Linked DNA regions of Drosophila melanogaster. The protein of the gene in region 1 purifies or fractionates together with the protein of each later gene. This does not show direct contact. Each region holds a gene or a part of one and is shown in the gene's direction. Other genes may lie near its edges.

Region 1 (7,171 bases):
CAGCTATTTGCAGCAGTACGTTCTGCTTCTGGGTTTTGGACTGCGTTTTTGGTGCGGTGGGCGCTGGCTGGGCAGGCTTCTTCTTTTTCTTCTTCGATGTCTGACTTGGGTTTTGGGAAGCTATGCCGACTGGTTGGGACGCGTTTTTGGATGGAGCTGGCGATTTCGAAGGCTGCTGCTGTCGCTGAGGCGCTTTTTGCTGCATTTTCAGGCCTGCATTGATATCTTTATTCGGCGCCTGAGACTTCTTCGTTTTGGCCTTCTTTTTGTTTTGGCCCGCTGGCGCAGGTTGTGTGACTACCATTGTCTCCTCCGTGGCTTTTACTTTGGCGCGCTTTCGGCTCTTCTCCAGAGCCAACATTGTCTTGTGATGGCAAACATCGCAGTCCACGGCCTGCAAAATGAATTGGGTTGTGGTTAGAGTGGCAGGAATGGGTCCATATGTACACACACAAAACACTGTATAAAGATCTTTCAGCTTCCTTGGTGTTAATTTAAATTATTATTTGCCCAGAAGCTTGATACATAAATTTATATTGCGCTTATAAGGTACTAAACTATCCATCTATACCATTCATCCATGGAAGCAAAGAGATATTATATTTATATTTATGAAATTAAAGAAATAAAAGTATTTTTTCCCACAATCTAGACATATTCTAGACATTCTATTAGCTCCTGGTTCTCACCATGTTACTGGCCATACGCTTCTTGAGCCACTTGGCCCGTTTCCTGGCCCCGCTGTTCATCTCGCCCTTTGCCATCTTGCCCTTCACGGCTTCCAGCTTGGTGATCAGTCTCCGGTTCTTAGCACTCTGCATCAGTTCTTGTGGCTGGAGGTGGAGCTGGTAGCGGCCACCTGTCCACTGGTTCCCGCAGCGGGAGCACATGCGTGCGGGTCCAAAGCTCTCCTCGGGCAACTGGACATTGTGCCGGGCCAGCTTCCTACAGGTGGTTCTGGGTTGTTTTGGAAACGAAATTTTAGTGGGTGCTTAAGGAATTGACAACGGATCTCACATGTAATAGGATTTGAGGATCCGTTCTGTGTGGGTTTGGTCGGTCAGCTTGGAGGCACAGTTCCACAGCAAATTTACTGTTTTTTGGTCACTCATGGCGGACGCTGACAATTTACTGAAAAAACAAATTCTATATATTTAAGCGTAATTATTTCCAGAAATGTTTTCCTACATTAATTAACGAAACCCCAACAGAAAAGCCAAACTTAAAGAGGTAGCCTAAATAGAGGAAACATGCCAAAATTCTAGCCAAAACATACAGCACTGACGGCACAACGTGTGCAGCTCACCAGAGAAATCAAAGGTGCATTTCAAGCCTAATTCCAGGTTCTTAACTTACCAGCTATGCGTGATAAATATTGAAAGTGATACGTGGTAAATTACGGTTGGATATTCATATTATAACATCAATAAAAACCCTTTTTGATAACGCTTTAAGAAAAATAAACAGCTGTCGGCCGAAATTAAACCGGTAAATATGTGTGATTGGTGAACCGGTTTAACCATTGATGTGCGACAGAGCTGCCACCCTGCCAAATACGACAAAGTGGCAGCCCTTGGCAACTCACCACTGGCATTTTCTCCCCAATTTCGGTATTTCGTCGTGGTCAGTTGAGGGTCCTATGGCATTTGCGCGTCGTTTTGAAATTATTCAACACATCTGAAAAGCCAACCGCCGAAACGAGCAGAAGCGACGCGCAGAATTTCGAATGCAAACGGACGCGCAACCCGCCAGTGAAAAACAAACATCAAATATCGCCAACGTGGAGTGTCGAGCAGTACAGTGAATTCAATAGCATAGTGCGCGCAATCACAACTCGCATTTGCATTTGCAGCTGCAGCAACAACAATGGACCCGTTTACTCAGGTACGAGGCCAATTCGCACACAGCAAAGCCCTTTGTCTGGTGATTGCACTGGTGTTAGTGAAGGCACCCGCGGATTTTCACTGCTATTTCCCATTTTCCCTTGCAGCACATGCTCGAGAAGGCGGAACAGCGCAGTCGCGCCCTTGGCATCAGCAATGCCAGCAAATTTCCGCTCGTCGAGTGCAGCGTTCCAAGCTCCTCCGCCACCTCCGCATCCGGCGGGGATGCTGGGGTCCTGGCACCGAGGAGCCGGTCGCCTGGAGGCCAGAGCGCGGCTAGCGGCGGCGGCAAGGTCGTTACGTTGGGAAAGGCCACGCTGGAGGCGTCGCCGGCGAAGCCGCTGCGTCACTATACGGCGGTAAACAAGGAAAACTTGGATATGGGCATAGAGATAAACATAACCACGGACAAGCCAATTGGGGTAAGTTTTCCCGTTCTTTTCTGGGTTCTTCCCTTTTGCTCATCCTTGCTGCACTACCTTCAGGTGCAAGTTGAGATTCAGGAGCAGGAGGTGACAGATGACGAAGAGCAGGCGGAAGGAGGTGCGCTAAATCCCCTGCTGGAGGCGGAACCAGTAAACCAGCCCCTAGCCAGGCTAAGGGACACTTCCCGCAGCCGACTGCAACGCATGGGTGCCCTGTACTCAAACACGGACGATCTATCCTCCCCAATCCACCGAACCGAGGGGCAGTTCCATGTGACAACGGGTGAGGAAGAGGACTGCGGCAACCGTAGCAGCAGGCAACCAAAACAACGGTTGGGCAAACTGGCCGCCTTGGCGGATACCATCAATCAGTGGGAGGATGACACGTCGCACCACGAAGTGCACAGACTGCTCGAAGCACCTCCACCGAAACCGCATTTGTCCAGTCGAAGGGCCGAGAAGGGTCCAGCTCCACTGCCACCCAAGAAGGATGAAGTCGACGAGGCAAGCAGGACCAAGCAGCTGAAGTGGGATCCCAAGGTATTGAGCTCTCTGGAGGCACAAGGTTTTCAGCGCCGCGAATCATCGACCATTAAACACACATATGATTATGCCAAACAGGAAGAGGCGGCCCCAGCCTCCAAAGTGGAAGATGCGGTATTAACTGCCAAGCCGCCAGTGCCGCAGAAATCAACGACGGTCAGCCAGGTCGCCAAGAACTTTGCATCTTCCGCCCCAGCGCCTAAGCCCGCACCAGCGCCTGCTGTTAGTGTGAAGTCCGGCTTGGTTTCCGGACGGGCGGCTCTCTTTGAAAACAAGGGAACCGGAGGACAGTCGCAAGGCCTACGCAACCAGAAGGATCCTTGTGAGCTGTCGCTGAAGGAGCGGATGAAGCTGTTCGAAACGGGCAACAACAAAGCGATGTTGCCGATGGCGCCAATAGGATCTGCTCCCAGTATTACCCAAATCCGAGCGGAAGAGGTGAAACGTGAGTTTGGCAGCCCTTCTATATTCATAATAGCTACTCATACTCATTTTTTTTTTGTTAACAGAACATTTAGCTGCAATGCATCCGGTGACTGCTGCCGCAGCTACTACCGTGGTTGCAGCAACCAAGCCGAAACAGGAAAACAAGCTGCGTGACAAGGTGGCCGCTTTGGTGGCAAATGCGCAATCAAGTGCAGAGACGCGTATCAAGGACATTGATCGCCAAAGGCAGGAAGACATGCAGATTATTTCTAATCGCTTTAACAAACAAAAGGAGCTCTTTGACAATCAACCATCCGATAGTTCTGTGGCTGCTCAAGCTCGACCTCCCGCGCCAGCTCCCAGCAGAGTAGTGCGGCCCATGCCACCGCCTCCACCACCGCCCATCGCTGCTCTCTCGCCCGGACTGGCCAGCAGCAAGAGGCGATCACGTAAGAAATGACTAAACCCTTTATCTAAGGACTTGTCCTTATACATCCGCAATTTCAGCTGGTGATGCGCCCACCACTGACGAGGATTCGAAGCGAGCCCGCAAATCGCATTCGGATCGTCTGTATCCCGCCCTGTCCGACCTCGACTCCAGCGGTGACAACTGCTGCGCCGCCGAAACTGCCTCCGCTACGGATGACAGCCATCAACAGGACGAGGAGGAAACCGAAAGGTGCGCTGAAAAATGCTATTCCTGCTTGCTATTTCTGCTCTGCATCGAGTAGCATTCCAAGACTGATAGGCCTAAGAGACATAGCTTTAAACCCCATCCCCTAGACAAGACCAACAATAAAATCGCTTTCTTAACTAACCGTTTATCTTTGATTCGTGCAGTTGCATGGATGAGTCCGACGACCAGTCACAGACTGAGGACAGTAGCGCCGGCATGTGCAATGGCAGTCTTGGCCGCGAGATAATGAGCGCAGTGCAGCGCAACGAAGTGGAGATGCAGCAGCAGCAGACGGGCAAGAAGGTAAGTGCAGGTAAAAACTGTCAACACAGCGGGTGGTCACCATTAACACGATTTCACACCTTTCCAGACTGTGCGCTATGCGGACCAGGACATGTATTACGATGACAGCTCTCTGAACTCGTCGCAGGTCTCAGCGGGCATCGATGATTATCTGGATGAAGCACTTGTCGAGGACTACGGCAGCACTCAGGATGACCAGAGCGACAGCGGGGACGAGCAAAATGCCAGTCGGCTGTCCTTGGGCGTGAGTACTTGCTGATTAAGTTTCCTCGTATATCAAAACAATTCTTTAATTACATTTTCAGAGCAAAGGAACGACGGCCTCAAACAGCTTTTCCTTCCGAAAAAATCCTGCCTCTATTTGCACGCCTATCGAAGAGCACCATGAGATGGAGATGGACCTGCAGACGCCACTGCTCAGTGGTGCCCAGCCGGTCAAGTCTGAATTGAGTGTCAACCAGGACAACGACAACCTGGTTACCCTGGTGCACACGGTCAGCTTCTATCGCCGCCAACAGAGCGCTAACGTGAGTTGATTACTTATATATCACAACTAACAAATTCTAAGTACTCGTTGTTTATAGAGCTCCAATTCCACACCGGTTCGCAAGATCTGTCGAGAGCAGCAGGTCATGCGATCAGCCCTAGCAGGCGATTGTCATGCCAAGCACAGACTGGAGTACGACTCTCCTCAGCAGTCTGATTATGTCGCAGCAGCAACTGACATAGCTGATCAGACCGACGAGGACGATGAAGAGATGCAGAATGCGCGGGAAGTAAACGATGCATCGCAGGCACAAGACAAGATCAAAAAGCTGTTGAGCGAGGTGTGCAAGCAGCAGCAGGTGATAGGACAAGCCAGTCAGGCCCTCAACCTTTGTGCTGCCACCGTAGAATTCTCCGGCTCCACAGAGTCCGTGGAGGGAGAGCGATATCTCCTTCTTGCAAGTAAGTGTGATCTTCAGTGTATTCAAGTATAAATTGCCTGTTCGTTGAATTCCAAACCGAATTGGCAATTTGAATGTCCAATTAAGCTGAACATCTCTTTAATATCCTTGCAGCCCATCGACGCCAGGCGTGTTTGGATGAAGTCCAGCGTTTAAGAGTTGAGAACAGTATTCGTCCGGTGGGTGCACCAAAAGAAAAGGGCCTACTGACGGTCAAGGACATAACCATTCCACTGCGACAGGAGTACGTGCGTAAAATGGCCTCGAACAACATTAACGGCCATCATCTTGTGTGCCTCCTGAAGTACAATGAGCACGTGCTGGCCACCAAGACAGTACCCACGATGCCAGGGCTGCTGTCTGTCAAGTTTCCCGATGTCCTGCAACTAAACAATGTATATGCTGACTTCAGGGTAAATATTGCTTTTTGCTTCTTTAGCCAATATTCGATTTTATTGCGAAAACTTCGTCTGCAGATCACGCTAGAAATCTATGGCATGTTGGCCCAACGCGATCAGCTGCCTCACGAGCTGAAATACCACATCAACTTGAACAAGAAGGGTGGCATCAAGACGCCAAAGAAGAAGGGCGGCGAGAATCGACTGGTGATGCCGCCAGTACAAAGTCCGGCGGGACCGCATGTGGTACGGACACCGCAGCTGGTGCAATACGGCTTTGCCATTTTCTCGCTGCGTGAAATTCAACGCACCACATGGACGCTGACCCAGGTGCTGGGCGTCAGTCCACTGGAGGGTGTGGTTCACATGAAAGTCAATTGCGAACTATCCGTAAGCGTGGAGTACAAGGGATTCCTTACCATGTTCGAAGACATCTCCGGTTTCGGGGCATGGCATCGTCGTTGGTGCTATCTGAATGGCTCCGTGATCAACTACTGGAAGTACCCGGATGATGAGAAGCGCAAGACGCCAATGGGTAGTATAGATCTGAATTCCTGCACTTCGCAGAAGGTGACCACGGCACCGCGCGACATTTGCGCCCGTCTCAACACCATGCTGCTGGAGTGCGAACGGCCGGCGCTGGAGACAGACCAAGAGTCCTTGATAATCGTACCCAACGGACGTACCACCACGGTGCGCCATCTGCTCTCAGCCGACACAAAGGAGGAGCGCGAGGAGTGGTGCGCCTACCTTAACAAGGCACTGACACTGCTGCGCGCCTGGGGAACCACCCACTGACCCGCTGACCCATTGCAATTTTGTCAGCAGCACGGACAATGACCACAAACGGGCGGGTTGTTAACAGTTTTCTCTTTTTAAGTTACTCAATTTGCTATTTTAATCGTGTTCGCATTGGTATTAATTTTGTTTTATGTTTCCAATTCAAATTTTTCGTTTCCATCTTGGAGTGGGACACGTTCGTGTTCGTCTATATCGACATAACTTTTTACTTATGTACATTTAATTTAGGATGACTCGCTAAATATATATGTGTAAACCCCCGTAAAAAGAACTAACGCCAATTGTACACTGATTATTTAATATAGTTTATTGAATACTTTTATACACGTAGTACACATTTACATTCACATATGTATATCGTTTTGCAAGAACTCGTGGCTAAGAAGAAATCGCTACGTGGCTTCCGCGTGTTAACTATCTTTTTATCTCTGACCATCCGGAATCTAACAACAAGTGAAAGTTAAAGCTTGCGTGTTATCACGACGCCGGCTGTTCTAGTGCCCATCTCGGCTTCGGCACCAGGTTTTCTGTACTGTGTAGGTGGTTCATGTCAGGTAGTCAGTGTGTCTGCTCCTTGGCCATCTCAATTGACTCTGGGTGGAAGATTGTAACTTCCTTGCGTTTGTCACTTGGCCTAAAGGTCGGCCTAAAGGCTATCTACAAAAGTGGATTACGCATTGCCGCCGGCGGAGTGTTCAGTGTGGGTTCCTCTAGTTCACAACACTATCAAATGTATAGATATATATTTCTCGTATAGGTATATATGTAT
Region 2 (6,951 bases), 8.1 Mb from region 1:
CTACATCCACGATTCCTTCGCGATACAAAACTATCGCAATGACATAGCGCTTCTTAGGTTGCAAAAAAGTATCGTTTACAAGCCACAAATCAAACCGTTATGTATTTTACTGAACGACCAACTCAAGCCGCAAACGGATCTCATCCAGGAGTTCACAGCAATCGGCTGGGGCGTAACGGGCAATGGGAAGATGAGTAACAATCTTCAAATGGTCAAGATCTACAGAATAGATAGGAAAATGTGCGAGGCAGCATTTTGGTACACTTTTGATTACCCAATGTTCTGTGCCGGCACCGCGGTAGGCAGAGATACCTGCAAAAGGGACTCCGGTGGACCCTTGTACATACATATGTTGTTCGATGGCATCAAGCGAGCAACGCAGTTGGGAATCGTCAGCACTGGCACCGAAGATTGCAGAGGTTTCGGTATGTACACCGATGTAATGGGCCATATCGACTTTATCGAGCGCATTGTTCTGGATGCGGACATTGAGGTGGTGCTACCCTATATAGACCTACTCGATGCTGGGTGTCTGGGCAACGACACGTTGAACAGCTGGGATAGAAGTGGTCCCGATGCGATCAGGTCCTTCGAGTGGTTGGCTGAGGTCTACAAGGATTCCTTTATAATCTCAAACGGCGCACTTATTTCGAAAAGTTGTCATCTTTTCTTTCCTCATTCGAAAAGATTACTAATGTGTTCTTCTTGTAGCTTTCGTGGTGACAACGGCGCAGTTGATTTCCGAAAGTACGGCATTGTAAGTACTTTGATCCCTTGGGAGGAGAAAGTTGAGTAATCTGAGTGCAATTGTATGTACATACATCTAGAAAGGTTCAACTGGGACAAGGCGATGTGCATACCTACGCTGTCGCATCTGTTCACAAGCATCCCAAATTCGTTAGCCTGGCCCAAAACGACATAGCTCTGCTTAAACTGGGCGAGGAAGTGCAGTACACGGGTGAGTGTCTTCCAAAGGCCATACGGATTAGCTTCATAATCATAATGTGTTCATTTTATGCGGCTAGAATCGATTCGACCGATCTGCCTGCCCTCGCTAAGCAACAAAGCGGAGCAGCAGAAGTTCCAAAGGCGTGCTGCTGATCCCGCCCTGAATCTCATAGCCGTTGGCTGGGGCACGCCGACTAACGTGGTGGTGCGGCGAACAAATGCCAGTAAGTGCTACCGGGAGGATCACCAAGACATCGGAGAGCAACAGTTGTGCATGGAAAGCCCTTCTCCTCATCTCCTGCGCGTGGGCATTGGCAGTCCCTTGGTAAACCCTCTAACCCACGGAAACAGGAGGGCATTCAGCCTGGTCGGACTGGCGAGCTTTGGCAGGTTAGAGCCTTTCGCTTCAAATGTCTACACCAATGTTCTCGAATACTTGGACTGGATCGGGGAAATGGTTAAGGCGTAGAGAATTCTTTGAAAAGTTTTAAGTTCTGCGATATGAAAACCATTTGATTTAATAAAGTTAATAGTAATAATAATATCAAAAATTTCATATACTGTAAGCCCACTTAACGAGAAGTTTAAATGCTTGCAAAATTACTTATATATTCAGAAATACTATTTTAGTAATAGTTGTTATTAAATGTATTGTAATTTCTTTTAAAATTCCATTTCAACAAAAACTTAACAAACAATAATTTAAATTTGAAATTTTTTGCAAAATTATTTATATTAAAATTTGCTGTTTTAGTATTTTCCAGCATTTGCGGTCGGTCACACTGAAATTCAAGCAAGAAGCAGCACGCGCCGCAGAAATTTGCCAATAATTTTCGTCCTCGCAAGCGTCGCAAGAGGAGGCGTCGTGTGATGGAAATGGCAACGGGAGCAGTATCTGGAGCAGCCGCAGCGGGTGCTGGAGCGTCGGTGGAGCAGCTGGTAGCCCAGACACTGCAGGCGGCCACAAATCCGAGCCATGAGATTGTCCAGAAGGCGGAGGCGCAGCTGCGCGAGTGGGAGCAGCAGCCGGGCTTCTTTCCCACGATTGCCCGTCTGAGCATGCGACGAGGTGGCGGCGGCGACGTGGTGTCCAGTACGGAGGACTCCGAGGTGAAGGTGCGCTGGATGGCGGCTGTCTACCTAAAGAATGGCGTGGAGCGCTATTGGCGGCCCAATTCGCGGCAGGAACTGCCCGCGGAGCAAAAGCAGCAGATCCGGGAAGTACTTCTGCGTCACTACGACGCAGAGGAAGTGCCCCAGGTAGCCCTGCAGGTAGCCGTGCTCCTGGGTCGCCTGGCACGCACGGATTACCCGCGATTTTGGCCGGATCTGCTGCCGACACTCATGAAGCAGCTGCAGTCCTGCGGTACGGATGGGGATTCGGCCCTGCAGCAGCGAATTCTTATTGTCCTACACTATGTCCTCAAGGCCCTGGCCTCACGGCGTCTGATGGCCGAGCAGCGTGCCTTCCAGGAGCTGGGCTTACAGATATTTGGATATCTGGCGTGGGACATTTGGGCACCACTTACGACGCGCTTTTTGCAGCTCGTGCGAAAGGACGAGGCCATGGCCCTCAATGCCCTTCAACGGGCGTATGTGGTGATGAGAACCCTGCGCAAGCTGGTGGTCTACGGCTGTGCCAAGCCGTACAAGTCCACGGATCACATGAACTTTGTGGAGCAGCTTTTCCAGCGGTTGCGACAGTGCCTCGAACTGCGCTATGAACTGAAAGTGGGATCGGCCACACCAGGCACTGCCACGATACTCACCGAATTGGAGCGCTTTGTGATTAAGATGATGAAGACCCTCAATGAACTGATGGAGCGGCATTCTGTGTCCTTTGCGAGGTTCGTTCCTGTGGCCCTGGAGTTCAGCTTCCACTATGTGTTCCACGAGGGCACCGCCCTCATTTTCGACGCCGGCGATCGCATTAACTTTAAAAACTTTGCCATACAGGCGCTGAACATGCTGAAAGGTATCATGCTGAGCGGCAACGATAGCATCAGTGCTCCGCCCGAAGGTGGTGCTCACATAGAGGATGAGCTGTTAGCCAGCGCTGCTCAAAGCCAAGCCAAGTTCTTCACAGCGGAGCGAGTGACCTACATCTGTGAGAAGATCGTGACGCACTATTTTCTGCTCACTCAACAGGAGCTGGAGGAGTGGCAGCAGGATCCAGAGGGCTATGACCAGGACGACGGCGGTGGTGATGCTTGGAAGTACGCCTTAAGGCCAAGCGTGGAGACCCTTTATTTCACATGTTTTACTCAGCATTCGCAAGTGATGATTCCGGAGGTGCTCCGTTTCGTAAGGCGTGCCCAGCAATTGCAGCTGACCCCGGAATCTGACCTGAAGGCCATTCTACTGAAAGACGCTATCTACAATGCCGTAGGCCAGGCAGCCTTTCATTTCTTTAACAAGCTGGACTTTGGCGCATGGCTGACATCCCAATTGCTTGCGGAGCTGCGCGTGGAAGCTCTGAACTTTCGGATCCTACGGCGTCGCATCATCTGGCTGGTAGGCCATTGGGTTGGCGTCCAGTTGCCCAGAGAACTGAGACCGCTGGCTTACGAAGCATGCCTGCATCTTCTCCGGCCGCAGGAGGACATGCCCACCAGGTTGGCCGCTGCCAGGACGTTGAATCTGTTGATCGACGATTTTGAGTTTATGCCGGAAGCGTTCCACCCGTATTTTCCATCCCTCTTCGAGGCCCTCTTTTTGCTGCTCCATGAGGCCGGCGAGTGCGACACCAAGATCGTGGTGCTGGGCACGATGACGCTACTTGTGGAGAAGATGAGCGAGTACATCGAGCCGCAGGCATTGCAGTTCATTGCGTATTTACCCCTCCTGTGGCGCGAGAGCGAGGAACACGACCTTCTGCGCTGCGCCATCATTGGCACCCTAGAGCAGCTGGTTCGAACGATACGGGATGTCCCAGAGCCCATGAAGCCCTTCCTCTACAGCGTGATCGAGCTGAGCACGGATCTTCAGGTGAGTGATTTTTTATGTTTAATTCCATATGCTATACATTTTTTTTTATTTATTTACAATAAGAATTTTTACATAGTTGAGTCAGTTTTGAGTCCAGCGGGTAATACTGAGTATCCAGTTAGTAAAACTTGGAACGTATGTGTAGACTCCTGGCCCTCGACACAAGTAGTGACCATAGCTGACAATACCTAGCTGAACGGTGCGGGTTATGCGGCCATTTGACATTTTCCTCGACAGCGGACCGCCTGAGTCACCGCTACAGGTGTCCGCCCGCCATTGTCCAGCGCAGAACTGACCGTATGAAAGCGAAGTGCGCAGGGATCGCTCACAGTCGCTTTGGTCAAGCCTGATCAGGTTCACTGTTTGCAGAACTGTGGCGGTGTTGATTAGATCAATCTTACCCCATCCAGCGGCCTCGTAGGTGGAACTATAAGGTACTTGGCCTGGATCCCGGAACAGACAAATTGGTCGAATGAACACTGCAAATGAGAATAATAGTAAAGTAACTGTAATGCACACCGCTTAGTAGATCCGTTCATCCGTAGAGCAATATAAAATTGGGGATAAACTAAATTGATACATATGATGGCATCTAACATTTGTAAACGACGGTTCCATTTAGTTTAAGCAATCCAATGTCGTTGCGACTGTCTTGTCTTCCACCGAAGAATGTATGGATGTAGGCGTTCTCTACGCTGTACTCCTCATACGTCGGAATACAGAACTCAGATGTACAATCGATGCGTGTCGATGTGTCGTATTCCCCAAGGCGAACCGTTCTGTGTTTTAGAATTAATTTAGTTTAAAAATCAAATACGAGCTTATACTTTATACTAACAACAAATGGAAGCTGTGCAGGCAGTGCGCTGCGGTGAGTACAAACCCTAGGAAAATCATTGTTAAAAATACAATTCGTAAATCACAAATTTCCGAAGGTACAAACTTTTTGTGATCAATGTGCCTGTACAAACTAAAGACGAGTTTTTGTGCAAGTAGGCCAACCACGGATTAGATCCTATATCTGCAGTTCTACCTCCAACGATTCTATTCGTGGGCGGAAGATTGATGGTAGTTCCGCAATTGGGATCAATAAACTGGGCTCTTAGTTTTGGTGTTAGACAAACCAGAAAGGCGAAACTAGCAATCCACAGCGATTTCATCTTGAGGTCAACACTGGCTGTACTGATTATTTTTAATGGTTTAGCATTCATTCTTTCACAACAATCTTATCTGTAACTAAGCTAAAATATAGCATTTTATGAAACCGCAATGAGTAACAATACCTAACTTTTTTTCGCACAGCAACCCTCGCACGTCTACCTCATCGAAGATGGTATCATGCTCTGGCTGGCGGTGATTGGGAACTCGACTGCACTGACACCCGAACTACTTGGTCTGTGCGACCACCTTCTGCCTATTATCGAGATGTCATCGGAGAACCTGCGCACCGTGCTGCAGCTGATTCATGCCTATATACTGCTGGACGCTCAGGCCTATCTGAGTCGTTACGGTGAGGGTTTCGTGGCCTACTGCGTGCGCTCTTTCGAGGACATACGTGTGGAGGGAATAATTGCCATGCTGCGGATCATCGAGACATGCCTGAAAACGGACGCGGCGTTGGGACTGCGGCTGGTGCGCCCAGCACTGCCCTTTGTCTTCCAGCAGGTGTGCCTTAAGCAGGAGTATCCCATGACAATGGGATGGTATCTGACCATCGTGGCCCGCACCCTGCTCATTGACCAGTCTGTTTTCATGTCGGTGGTACAGCAATTGCCACAAGCGGACGCTTTGGCCCGCATCCTGGACGTTTGGATCGAGATGTTCCCAATGGTTCCCGACACGCACGCAGAGAAGAGAAAGCTCTTCTGCCTGGCCTTCGCCTCGATCTTTGGAAGCAATGAGCTGCTGCTTGCTCGCCTGCCACATATCCTGCAGCTGGTGGACGAAACGTTGGGCGAAGTGATGGACAAGCAGTACGCCGCCACCGAGGAGGGTGCGTCACAGGCCACGCCTCGCTTCTATGATTCATTGGTCATTCATGACGAACACGAGCTGGACGATCTGCAGCAGCAGCTGGGCAGTGGCGGCGGTGTCAGCGAGGAATTTCACACCAAGGGCTACCCGGCCAAGACCTATCACGACGACCGCCACAGGCAGTTGGTGCTCAAAGATCCCGTTTACAAGATCCCCCTTACCGAGTATCTCAAGTGGCAGCTGCAGTCGTTGCAGGCACAGCTGGGATCCCAGCGATATGAGCAGGTAATGTGCTCCGTGGTTCCCGAGGTACGGGAAAGGATTACCATGTACATAGAGCAGACTGTGCCCAAGGCCTGTGTGGTGTGCGCGGGCTCCGGCTCCGGATCGGGAGCGCCTGCGGACAGGACGCTCTCCGAACAGGTGGAGTCCGGCTGATTCCGGACTGCTGTGCTTTAAAAGCTTTCTACGCTAAGTTATTAATGTATTTTGTATTGAAATTATATATTTTTAATTGTTAAAAACTATGTTCTACGCGTTAATCCACCGCCGGTCTGCGCTCCATTTTGCCTCTAAGCAGCGCACATATCGTTTCCTCCTTCTGCTGTAACTTATGACGCAACTTGTCCATTTCTTCTGCATTCCGGGCATGCAATCCGCGCAATTGTGACTCCTTGTGCTGGACAAGTACTTCCAGGCGGCGTACCGCCTCGTAGGTATCGCGCACCTCAGCCTGCCCTGCCTCCAGCTTTTGGGCCCACTGCAGCGCCATTCTCAGACGAGCCTTAAGCCGATCTCTGCTGTGCTTGGCTTTTTCCGTGCTGCGGACCAGTGAAGCTGCCCGTGCGGTGGTGGCTTGCAGCTGTTCCTGGAGGCAAGTTCGCTCTCTCGCATGCTCCTGCCGCAATTGCTCAAGCAGGGCTTTGCACTGATGCAGTGCCTCGGATTCGGCGGGAACTGGAGGAGCAACCGCAGCGGGCGCCGCCGATGAGGCACTTTTAAGCGCGGCTAGTTCGGATTTAGTTCGCGCGTAGGCCGCCT
Region 3 (5,319 bases), 650 kb from region 1:
GGGTCGAATCCATATCATTGATTCCATTGATTGGTGACCCATGCCAGCTGATGTAACGGTCACTTGGTGGATCAGCTGCTCCTAAGCCAACATTTGCACTAAACTGTCCTTGCTCTCGTGCCAAGAATTGGCACAGCTGCCGACTCCATTCTCCCGGCTGCATCCCCCGCCACTTCTTCGAGCCACGAGAACAATGGACTTGGCCCGGACAATGGTCGGCGCTAAGAAATAGTGACTTTTCAGGGGCGCACGGGTTTTCCTCTGGCTTCTAGCGGGCCCTAATTGCTGGCAAGCATCTTACATAATATTGAAGAAGATGCGTCTCCGAATGGATTTCGTATGGAGTGTGCCTGATGCGAAACAGCTGCTCAAGATCTCAAAACTATGAACACGAGGAAGGGTTGCGGGGAGATTAGGTGGGATTTGTTCGCTGTAAAGATTTGCGGTTGCAGTTGCGGTGGCACATTTCAAGACCTAACATCTGTCGTAAAAAACATCTAGTTTCGAAGCCCCCAGCCAAAAATGAAATGTATTTAGCATTGATGAATACGATAATAGAAAATCAACTTTTTAGTGCTATAAAAAAGTAGTGCTATAAAAAAGTACGAAAGTACATACGCGTATGTTTTTAATCGTTAAAGATGCACCCAAAAAAGCAATATAAAATTAGTTTAAGGAAGCTAAAGTAAATATACATATAAATAGACTTAATGAATAAAATCGACTTTCTCCTTATATTTTGGGTTAATCAAATGGTTTCGGATGGTCATAAATGTTAAATGTATTAATAAAGCTTAAAATAAAGTTTGATAAAGAATGAAAAAGAATTCATTAAATAACTTTTTAGAACAAAAAATATGTATTGAGATCATAAAATGCAATCGACAATCAAATTAGTAAGAATAACAAGAAACAAGGGGATCTCTAGCCACAAAATTCCACAGAACTTCCCTCGATTTACCTTTTCCCTTGACGACAACAACTGTAAATCCTCCAATAAGTACAGTCATCCCCTAGGGTAAAAATCGAGCCACCGCGAGTCATATCAATTCATAAATGCATATTAATTCCGATAGAGGCTAAAATTAAAACAGGAGTCGCTTTGGAATAATGTGAGAAAAAAACTTTCTCACGATCACCTTGTTGTCGCGCAGACGGCGTTTGGTGGAAATCCACGTGCAAAAGGGGGAAGTTCGGAAGCAAGGAAGGCTGGATGGTAGGAAGGAAGGAAACCACCACCACCAAGCAGGCGGAGTAGGACGCAGGACCCTCTTAATGGTGGTGGTTAGTACCTCCCTCTCCCCCTCCCCCTCTACCAGTGACGATCGCCAGAAGTGCATGAGAATTTAAATTACAAACAAACCGAAACGCAGAGCGCACAATCAACGGGCTTTGTCCGTGTGCGTGTATGCATCGGCATGCGATGACGCGTAGAGGGTGGGGTAGAGAGGGTGCCAGGACGAGGCGTGTGTGGGAACTTTCGACGAGGACACTCGAGCATGAAGCGGGTCAAACGACAGAGGCCAGTTATTATCCAGCTCCTTTTTATGGCACTTCTCACACGCCCACAAGGGGCGTTAGTTAGCTCACTAACCTCTTTCCAAACAGAGTCGAATGGAATTATAGCAAGTGTGAGAGAGAAGCGAAAGTCGAGTTCTCAGCGTCACAATAACAACACCCACGCGACAGAAGCATCTTTAGTTCTCAGCGAGAGAGATAAGCTCAGCTTCCTCTTCTTCTTTCTCTGCTCCTTCTGCTGCTCTCACGGGCATGCGCAACATTGCAACAAAAATTAAAGGGAACCCGTAACCACAAAAGTCATGGGCGTAGTGAACAATTTTATTTAAAAACCCGTTATGGTGTACCATAGAAATTAATTCCCTATAAAAATGGACAAACATAAACTGAAAATGTTTTAAAATAAATATAGTTCGATATGTAGTCAAAAAACCCCTCAGTAATCCACCCCTGCTTAAGGCAAAAGTCAAAGTCATCTAGACGGATAATTTCTTCCTGTGCATCAGCGGGCGATTGTAATGCGATCCGTGGCCACTCCAGTGCAGTCATTCAGGCCAGAAATCTGGAATCCCAAGTGCTGGGACACATGAATGCGTTTCATTGCCTATTTTTAAACATAACATTCCATTTCAAGTGATAAGGCCACCAGAAAATAGTTCTCTTTGCCCGTTTGCATGTGCATTGCTGCGGCAGTATGGGTGCGTGTATCTCTGTGTGTATGTGTCGCATTACTCATGCGCTCTCACTCCAAGCGTCGTTTGGTATATTCGCGGCTCTCGTCCGGTATTTTCCAGGGTCACACTGCGCCTGAGCTGGGGCGTTGTTGTTGCCTGCGAGAGCGGAGCAGAAGTATTTATCGCGTTGCAGCGCACGGTCCTACTGACACAGAAAATGCAAGAAAAGTAAGAGCGTAAAAGAGCTGGCGTAGGCGTGACAAAAGCGGTGAAAAAGCAACGGTTCTGTGCAAGCAAAGTGAATAAATACAGTGAAGCCCACCTGCGAACGAATATCGAAGGCTCAAAGGCGAATTTGGCGCTATTCCAATGAATAGTCCTCGCTCGAACGCGGTTAATGGCGGCAGCGGCGGCGCCATCTCCGCTCTGCCCAGCACTCTGGCCCAACTGGCTCTGCGCGACAAGCAGCAGGCTGCGTCGGCATCGGCGTCCTCTGCCACGAACGGCAGCAGCGGCAGCGAGTCCTTGGTGGGCGTCGGTGGACGACCGCCCAATCAGCCGCCCAGTGTGCCAGTGGCCGCCAGTGGCAAGCTGGACACCAGCGGCGGAGGCGCCTCCAACGGCGACTCGAACAAACTGACCCACGATCTGCAGGAGAAGGAGCACCAGCAGGCGCAGAAGCCACAGAAGCCACCGCTCCCGGTGCGCCAGAAGCCCATGGAGATCGCCGGCTATGTGGGCTTCGCCAACCTGCCCAATCAGGTCTATCGCAAGGCCGTCAAGCGGGGATTCGAGTTCACTCTGATGGTGGTGGGCGCCAGTGGGCTGGGCAAGTCGACGCTGATCAACTCCATGTTCCTGTCGGACATCTACAACGCGGAACAGTATCCGGGCCCCTCGCTGCGCAAAAAGAAGACCGTGGCCGTGGAGGCCACCAAAGTAATGCTCAAGGAGAACGGCGTCAATCTGACACTCACGGTGGTGGACACACCCGGATTCGGTGATGCCGTTGACAACAGCAACTGCTGGGTGCCCATACTGGAGTACGTGGATAGCAAGTACGAGGAGTACCTGACAGCCGAGTCGCGGGTGTACCGAAAAACCATTTCGGACAGCCGGGTGCACTGCTGCCTCTACTTCATAGCGCCATCGGGACACGGACTCCTGCCGCTGGACATTGCCTGCATGCAGAGCCTGTCGGACAAGGTAAATCTGGTGCCGGTGATCGCCAAGGCGGACACCATGACGCCCGACGAGGTGCATCTATTTAAGAAGCAGATCCTTAACGAGATCGCCCAGCACAAGATCAAGATCTACGACTTCCCCGCCACGCTGGAGGATGCGGCCGAGGAGGCCAAAACCACGCAGAATTTGCGCAGCCGAGTGCCATTCGCGGTGGTGGGTGCCAACACCATCATCGAGCAGGACGGAAAGAAGGTCCGGGGTAGGCGTTATCCCTGGGGCCTGGTGGAGGTGGAGAACCTGACGCATTGCGACTTTATAGCGCTGCGCAACATGGTCATACGCACGCACCTTCAGGACCTCAAGGACGTGACGAACAACGTCCACTACGAGAACTACCGCTGCCGGAAGCTATCCGAGCTGGGATTGGTGGACGGCAAGGCCAGGCTGTCCAACAAGAACCCACTCACCCAGATGGAGGAGGAAAAGCGGGAGCACGAGCAGAAGATGAAGAAGATGGAGGCCGAGATGGAGCAGGTGTTTGACATGAAGGTCAAGGAGAAGATGCAGAAGCTCAGGGACTCGGAGCTGGAGCTGGCGCGGCGCCACGAGGAGCGCAAGAAGGCGCTGGAGCTGCAGATCCGGGAGCTGGAGGAGAAGAGACGCGAGTTCGAGCGCGAGAAGAAGGAGTGGGAGGATGTCAACCACGTGACGCTCGAGGAGCTCAAGCGACGCAGCCTGGGGGCCAACAGCAGCACGGACAATGTGGATGGCAAGAAGGAGAAGAAAAAGAAGGGTCTGTTCTAAGTCAACACGCTCAAAACCCCCATTCCCCAAACCCCCTTCCGCTCCTCGTATACTTAAGCGCTAATCTCGAGAACAAAGCAAATGAAAACCCTAGCGTATCCTACTCTTATTCCTACCACATAAAGTAATTCGAAAAGTGCATAAATATATCTATTGTTGGGCCCAGCCGCCCCACAAGGCTTCTATTCGCACAGCAATCGTCCAGCGACGGCGTTGCATTTGTTTTCTACATACTATACAAGTACATATAACACATAGCAGTTGCAGTATTTTACCAATATATATCCACGCATTACTTGACGAAACACATTTGCTAGCCTAATGAATTGAACACGCAAACGAATTAAATCGAGACAGTAACAAACGGTATTTGCAAAATACTTAAGTATCTTAAAGCCTAATCATAATAAAAACTAAGCAGAATGTACGAGTGCGAGGCGAAATTGATCCTAAAATTAATTATAACGAATAACGAATCCATGTATAACGTATGCTATTGATATTGTAATTGTATTTTACCTATTATGCATAAAGTCATTGAACACCCGAACACACACCAGCAAGGCAAAAGCCGCAAGCGCAGCAGAAAACATCAAGAAACAAAATATACTCTTGCATTTTATAAAATAAAGTCTTCTCCTTAGTTTAACTACATAAAAGCTGAAAAGCATTCCATATTAAATTCGTTGTTTACTCAACTGCAGCGGAACGGGTCCGCTTGGCACACGTCTGGGTATGATAGGCATGACGATGGATATGGCGATTTGGATATGACGATTACATTCTCAATATCTTAGTTAACCATGAGCTAATGGATGAGTCATTCCGCAGGAGCATTGACTGGGAACGTGGCTCGAGTCAAGCGGATAGGTAAATCACTCGCCGCAAACAATTAAAAGTGTTTACCTCTCACACTGCTATGTATGTATGTATGTATGTGTGATGCTTATTGGACCAGTGAAAACTAACGCGAACCGTTGGTGCCACCTAAAAGTATCATGCTTTTCGTTTCCTAAGAAATACCCTTTATGCAGTTCTTGCCCATATGTGCGACTCAAGCAATTACGAAAAGCCTGACACTCCCTATAAGTCAGTACATGTACATATACAATCTTTCGCCTTATGCGGCCACAATTTA
Region 4 (4,587 bases), on another chromosome or scaffold:
ATAAAGGGATACTAGAGCGGAGACAACGCCAGGCTTGTACTTGGCTTCGCCCAATGACAGCAGTGTTTCAATTGCATCCTTGCGGTTGCCCTAAAGCAACGAAATACAAAAAATAAGATTCCATTTTCGACTTACGACTTATGGCAACTTACCTGAAGCAGCTGAAGTTGTATGATGGCAAATTTGCTGACGAATTCGTGCGACTTGTGGGCTGCAGCGAACTTTTGTAGCTGCTCGATGGCCTCCTTGTGCTTGCGATCTTTGGCCAGCTGGGTGCAGCGAATGAGCAGCGCCTCGAATTCCACCTGCGGGTAGGTCTGAGCTAGCTTTTGGCTAAGCTGTTGCACTTGGTCGCCGGCATTAGTGTAAAGTGCTAGCAGACAGTTGTTGAGGGCTATGACCTGCTTCTGGCGCGAGGTGAGCCTAGACTCACAGGCGTCGGCTAGGGCAGCGCGTATCTTCTTCTTGGAATCGAAGACGTTCTGGTCCTTATTGACCACCACCAAGTTGTTGCTTGCCACGGCCACCAGGGCTGCGTCCTTTGGCTTATGACGCAGGCAGTCCGCGTAGATGCTGGACGCCTCCTTGGTCTTGCCCTGCAGTTGGAGGACATAGGCCAGTTGGACGCGAATGACGTCTACCTCTTCAATGATCTCCTCCTCGGAGGCACACTCATCCTCAAGACAGAGCTTCTCGCTGGTGCGCAACTTGCGCTCGGCTTCAGCATACTTCTGCCGATTAGCCTGGATGCACGCGCTGTTGAAGTACTGCTCGTAGGTGTCTTCCGGCACCTCGGGCACCTCCTTGGTCTGATCCACAGCCAAGTTGGCGGCCACGGCGCTGAGATTGGTCCGACGCTCTTCCTCGTACTCGTCACTGGTGTTCTTAATGATGTCGCGATAGGAGTCTAGGCACTCATCGTAGCGCTCCAAGCGGTACAGGACCTGGGTTCGGAGCTCCTTAAGGTTCGGAGGCAGGGGCTGCAGACCCGCATCGTCTATGGTCTTAAGCGCTTGCTGCTGCTTGTTAAGTTGGTACTCGCAGTAGGCCTTCTCAAAGAAAAGCGAGGACAGTCGATTTTTCTCAATAAACTTGTAGGCCTCCTCGAACTTGGAAAGCTGCACCAGGCAGACTACCTTGCAGTGCAGGGCGGTGGGATCGTCGGGCGCTACGCCTAGGACTATGAGAGATCATAGGGAGTCATCTTCTGGATTATAACCTCGGTAATCTGAAAAACTTACTGCGATTCACTGCCTTGACAGCCTTGTCAAACTCCTGGTTATTGCCGAACTTATTCACATCAGCGTAAGCCGCCTTTATGAGCGCCTCCTTGGGATTAGCGTCCTTTGACATCCTGTTTGCTCAGCACGTTAGTGGGTGGTAATATATATTTTATTCACTGACTTAAACTTTCGACTTTCCGTTTAACATGCAAGTTTTTACAGCTGTAGACACATCAGCAATGCGGACCTGCCAGATCGCTTCTGTGTGCAACCAGAGATGCCAGATGGCGGAAACAGTTAAGACATTTAATTTTTTAAACTATTTACATTTAATTAATAACTTATGCATAAATATCTATGAATGGGACATTTTATTATTAGTTATTAAAAACTGAAACGCTAAATGATGTGTACTAAAATCTTAATCCATGAAGTGCATTTCACTGTTTGATTATCAATTTCGTTTCACTATTTGCCATTATGGCACATGTAATTCATTAAATAATTGTTTTTTAATTCTTTGTTAAGTTATAATTTTCTTGTTCATCTATATCCACACACTTCTTTGAGCCGCTGGTATTTTGGGCTCCGCGTATCTGGCCACACTTGCATATTCGCTGGCGACGCCTTTGATCCAAACTCTGCGCCCGGATTATTGGATTATTTGACTTGACTATTGGAAAATGTCCGTTGAGGTGGATTTCGTCGACAAGAAGGAGGTGCACCTCCGCACCCTGAAGCAGTCCGGTCACGTGGGATTCGACAGCTTGCCTGACCAACTGGTCAACAAGAGTGTCCAGAATGGATTCGTCTTCAACGTCATGTGTATAGGTGTGTATATGCGGGTGAACTTTGCGTGTGTGCGTGTGTATGCGGCACAGTGAATCAACCGAAGTTTTGCTTGCATACAAAACAGTGGTGACCAAAGCAATAGCACTGATTTTTTATATTCCATAAAGGAGTCACTTGGAGAAGGTTTCAAACTTTTGTTGCTTCTTAACTCAAAGATGGCTTTGTTTGCACACCAATTAGAAATTGGACATACAGTGGTAGCTCGATGCAGAGAGAATGAAATAAAAACCGAGGTGTGTGCTTTTTATTTGTTAAACTTTAATACGAGTAAAATCAGTAAAATCATATTAGAAATACAATTATTTATTGAAAGCAAAGACTATTGCACAGCACATCTTGAAATAAAGATGCTATTGTTTTGAACACCGCTGTGCTATGTACTCAAGTGTCTCATGTTGGAGTGCATTGCTCAGATAAAGTGAATCACTTAGGTACATAAAAGCGGGTAAACAATTGAAATAACCAGACGCCCAGATACGATTAGTATGCAAAGTGGCCGGCAATCGATTGCCTCCGCCACTTTCTACAATTTCACCCTGACACCAATGCCGCAGTGCTTCTATGGCCAATTGAGCTCACTTAGGCTAAGGTTCCCCAAATCTGGCACAAATCTGACCCGCATTTCGAAATCTTTACGCTCCGCAGGCGAAACCGGACTGGGCAAGTCGACGCTGATGGACACGCTGTTCAACACCAGCTTCGAGTCCACGCCGAGTCCCCACACTTTGCCGAGCGTCAAGTTGAAGGCACACACCTACGAGCTGCAGGAGAGCAATGTGCGACTCAAGCTCACCATCTGCGACACGGTTGGCTACGGCGATCAGATCAACAAGGACGACTCGTTCAAGGCGGTGGTGGACTACATCGACGCACAGTTCGAGAACTATCTGCAGGAGGAGCTGAAGATCAAGCGATCGCTGGTGACATGCCACGACAGCCGCATCCACATCTGCCTCTACTTTATTTGCCCCACTGGGCACGGCCTCAAATCGCTGGACCTGGTGTGCATGAAGAAGCTGGACAGCAAGGTGAACATAATTCCGGTGATTGCCAAGGCGGATACCATTTCCAAGGTTGAGCTACAGCGCTTCAAGGCGAAGATCATTCAGGAGCTAAACGCCAATGGAGTGCACATCTACCAGTTCCCCACCGACGATGAGACGGTGGCCGAGACCAACACCAGCATGAACTCGCACATTCCCTTCGCCGTGGTGGGCAGCACGGAGTTTATTAAGGTGGGCAACAAGCTCATCCGCGCTCGCCAGTACCCCTGGGGCACGGTGCAGGTGGAGAACGAGACGCACTGCGACTTTGTGAAGCTGCGCGAGATGCTCATTCGCACCAACATGGAGGATATGCGCGAAAAGACACACACGCGCCACTACGAGCTGTATCGCCAGAAGAGGCTGGAGCAAATGGGCTTCAGCGATGTGGACAGCGACAACAAGCCCATCTCGTTCCAGCAGACGTTCGAGGCAAAGCGCTCCAACCATTTGGCCGAGCTGCAGTCCAAGGAGGAGGAGGTTCGTCAGATGTTCGTGCAGCGCGTTAAGGAGAAGGAGGCCGAGCTGAAGGAGAGCGAGAAGGACCTGCACGCCAAGTTCGAGAAGCTAAAGCGGGATCACGCCGAGGAGAAGCGCAAGCTGGAAGAGTCGCGCAAGGCGCTCGAGGAGGACTACCTTGACTTCCAGCGGCGCAAGCAGCAGTTGGCCACCGCCCACCACACGCTCACCCTCGGCAAGAGCAAGAAGAAGTAGAATCCGGCGCCGCCGCCTCACAATGTATTGAGAATTCTGTGCGGTTCGCTTATCCCAAAGTAATTATTGCTTTCTCATCTCGTTGTCTTTCATTTGTACTATTAAGTTTACTTCAAATATTAACATATACACAACTACACGCATATGTACGCAGGCATATAATGATTATGTATTTACAACTAACGAATAAATCGAACTTAGTATTTTAACAAAGTAGAAAAGAGCTGTTTGCCGGAAACTTGTATTCAAAAAATTGTAAACTTTTGTCGATATAATGTGTTTTTAAGTGTGTATTGAAGGCACCGCTGGATAAAGACAACAAAATAACATTTTATCTAAGATTATCCTGGTTTCCTTAGAAGTCACTGATTGATATGTATCAATACATATTAAGTTTATATTTTCCTTGAATTTCTTTTAAGCTCCGCTTTTTAAATACAAAAACATGGTAATTTGAATTTCAAGATTGGCGGGCTTTTCGTAGGACGTAAGTGTAGTACGGCCTTATTTTACTTGTCTTGTGCTTGCCACCTGGTCACACTGTTACCCACTCATTCACTGCAGGCTGCAAAAATTATAGAACAAATTAAAAACGCAATAATAGAATCACCGCAGCGAATTCGACGCAATCACGGAGTCCAGTGCTCCGTAACCCAAACGAAAGCAATTAACCGTGTTCAACGTAGAGAATAGTCCATGAAAGTGGGTGTATCCGTTGGCAAAAAGCAAGATACCCCTTTGTGTTTGTTTTTTGT

The links.
Region 2: the proteins of scra (region 1) and Impbeta11 purify together in Drosophila melanogaster (affinity purification with western blotting, with the first as the bait; one study listed by BioGRID). This does not show direct contact.
Region 3: the proteins of scra (region 1) and pnut purify together in Drosophila melanogaster (affinity purification with western blotting; 3 studies listed by BioGRID, with this or other methods). This does not show direct contact.
Region 4: the proteins of scra (region 1) and Septin2 purify together in Drosophila melanogaster (affinity purification with western blotting; 2 studies listed by BioGRID, with this or other methods). This does not show direct contact.

What each region holds. Positions count from the first base shown.
Region 1 is NT_033778.4:7,588,578-7,595,748, forward strand, and holds scra (scraps), read left to right. Parts: upstream 1-1,541; 5' UTR 1,542-1,866; coding exon 1,867-1,884; intron 1,885-1,990; coding exon 1,991-2,305; intron 2,306-2,368; coding exon 2,369-3,296; intron 3,297-3,360; coding exon 3,361-3,726; intron 3,727-3,784; coding exon 3,785-3,956; coding exon of another isoform or gene 3,957-4,008; exon of another isoform or gene 4,009-4,092; intron 4,093-4,117; coding exon 4,118-4,256; intron 4,257-4,323; coding exon 4,324-4,500; intron 4,501-4,561; coding exon 4,562-4,783; intron 4,784-4,840; coding exon 4,841-5,204; intron 5,205-5,317; coding exon 5,318-5,616; intron 5,617-5,679; coding exon 5,680-6,399; 3' UTR 6,400-6,665; downstream 6,666-7,171. Other genes in the region: CG1360 (uncharacterized protein), read right to left, coding at 1-394, 690-957, 1,018-1,112. UniProt on the Drosophila melanogaster protein: Required for cytokinesis. Essential for the structural integrity of the cleavage furrow and for completion of cleavage furrow ingression and proper formation of the midbody.
Region 2 is NT_033778.4:15,680,987-15,687,937, forward strand, and holds Impbeta11 (importin beta11), read left to right. Parts: upstream 1-1,732; 5' UTR 1,733-1,818; coding exon 1,819-3,936; exon of another isoform or gene 3,937-3,947; intron 3,948-4,017; coding exon of another isoform or gene 4,018-4,415; intron 4,416-4,533; coding exon of another isoform or gene 4,534-4,715; intron 4,716-4,774; coding exon of another isoform or gene 4,775-4,820; intron 4,821-4,879; coding exon of another isoform or gene 4,880-5,096; intron 5,097-5,238; coding exon 5,239-6,348; 3' UTR 6,349-6,429; downstream 6,430-6,951. Other genes in the region: CG30091 (uncharacterized protein), read left to right, coding at 1-656, 712-757, 828-958, 1,026-1,417; CG30082 (uncharacterized protein), read right to left, coding at 4,018-4,415, 4,534-4,715, 4,775-4,820, 4,880-5,096; Cep89 (centrosomal protein 89kDa), read right to left, coding at 6,449-6,951.
Region 3 is NT_033778.4:8,235,496-8,240,814, forward strand, and holds pnut (peanut), read left to right. Parts: upstream 1-1,775; 5' UTR 1,776-2,561; coding exon 2,562-4,181; 3' UTR 4,182-4,802; downstream 4,803-5,319. UniProt on the Drosophila melanogaster protein: Involved in cytokinesis and possibly cellularization. Also acts as an enhancer of the sina gene, thus having a role in photoreceptor development. May be involved in p53-dependent apoptosis.
Region 4 is NT_033777.3:20,585,591-20,590,177, reverse strand, and holds Septin2 (septin 2), read left to right. Parts: upstream 1-1,821; 5' UTR 1,822-1,906; coding exon 1,907-2,054; exon of another isoform or gene 2,055-2,175; intron 2,176-2,182; exon of another isoform or gene 2,183-2,308; intron 2,309-2,720; coding exon 2,721-3,832; 3' UTR 3,833-4,049; downstream 4,050-4,587. Other genes in the region: Srp72 (signal recognition particle 72), read right to left, coding at 1-90, 153-1,180, 1,242-1,353. UniProt on the Drosophila melanogaster protein: Involved in cytokinesis.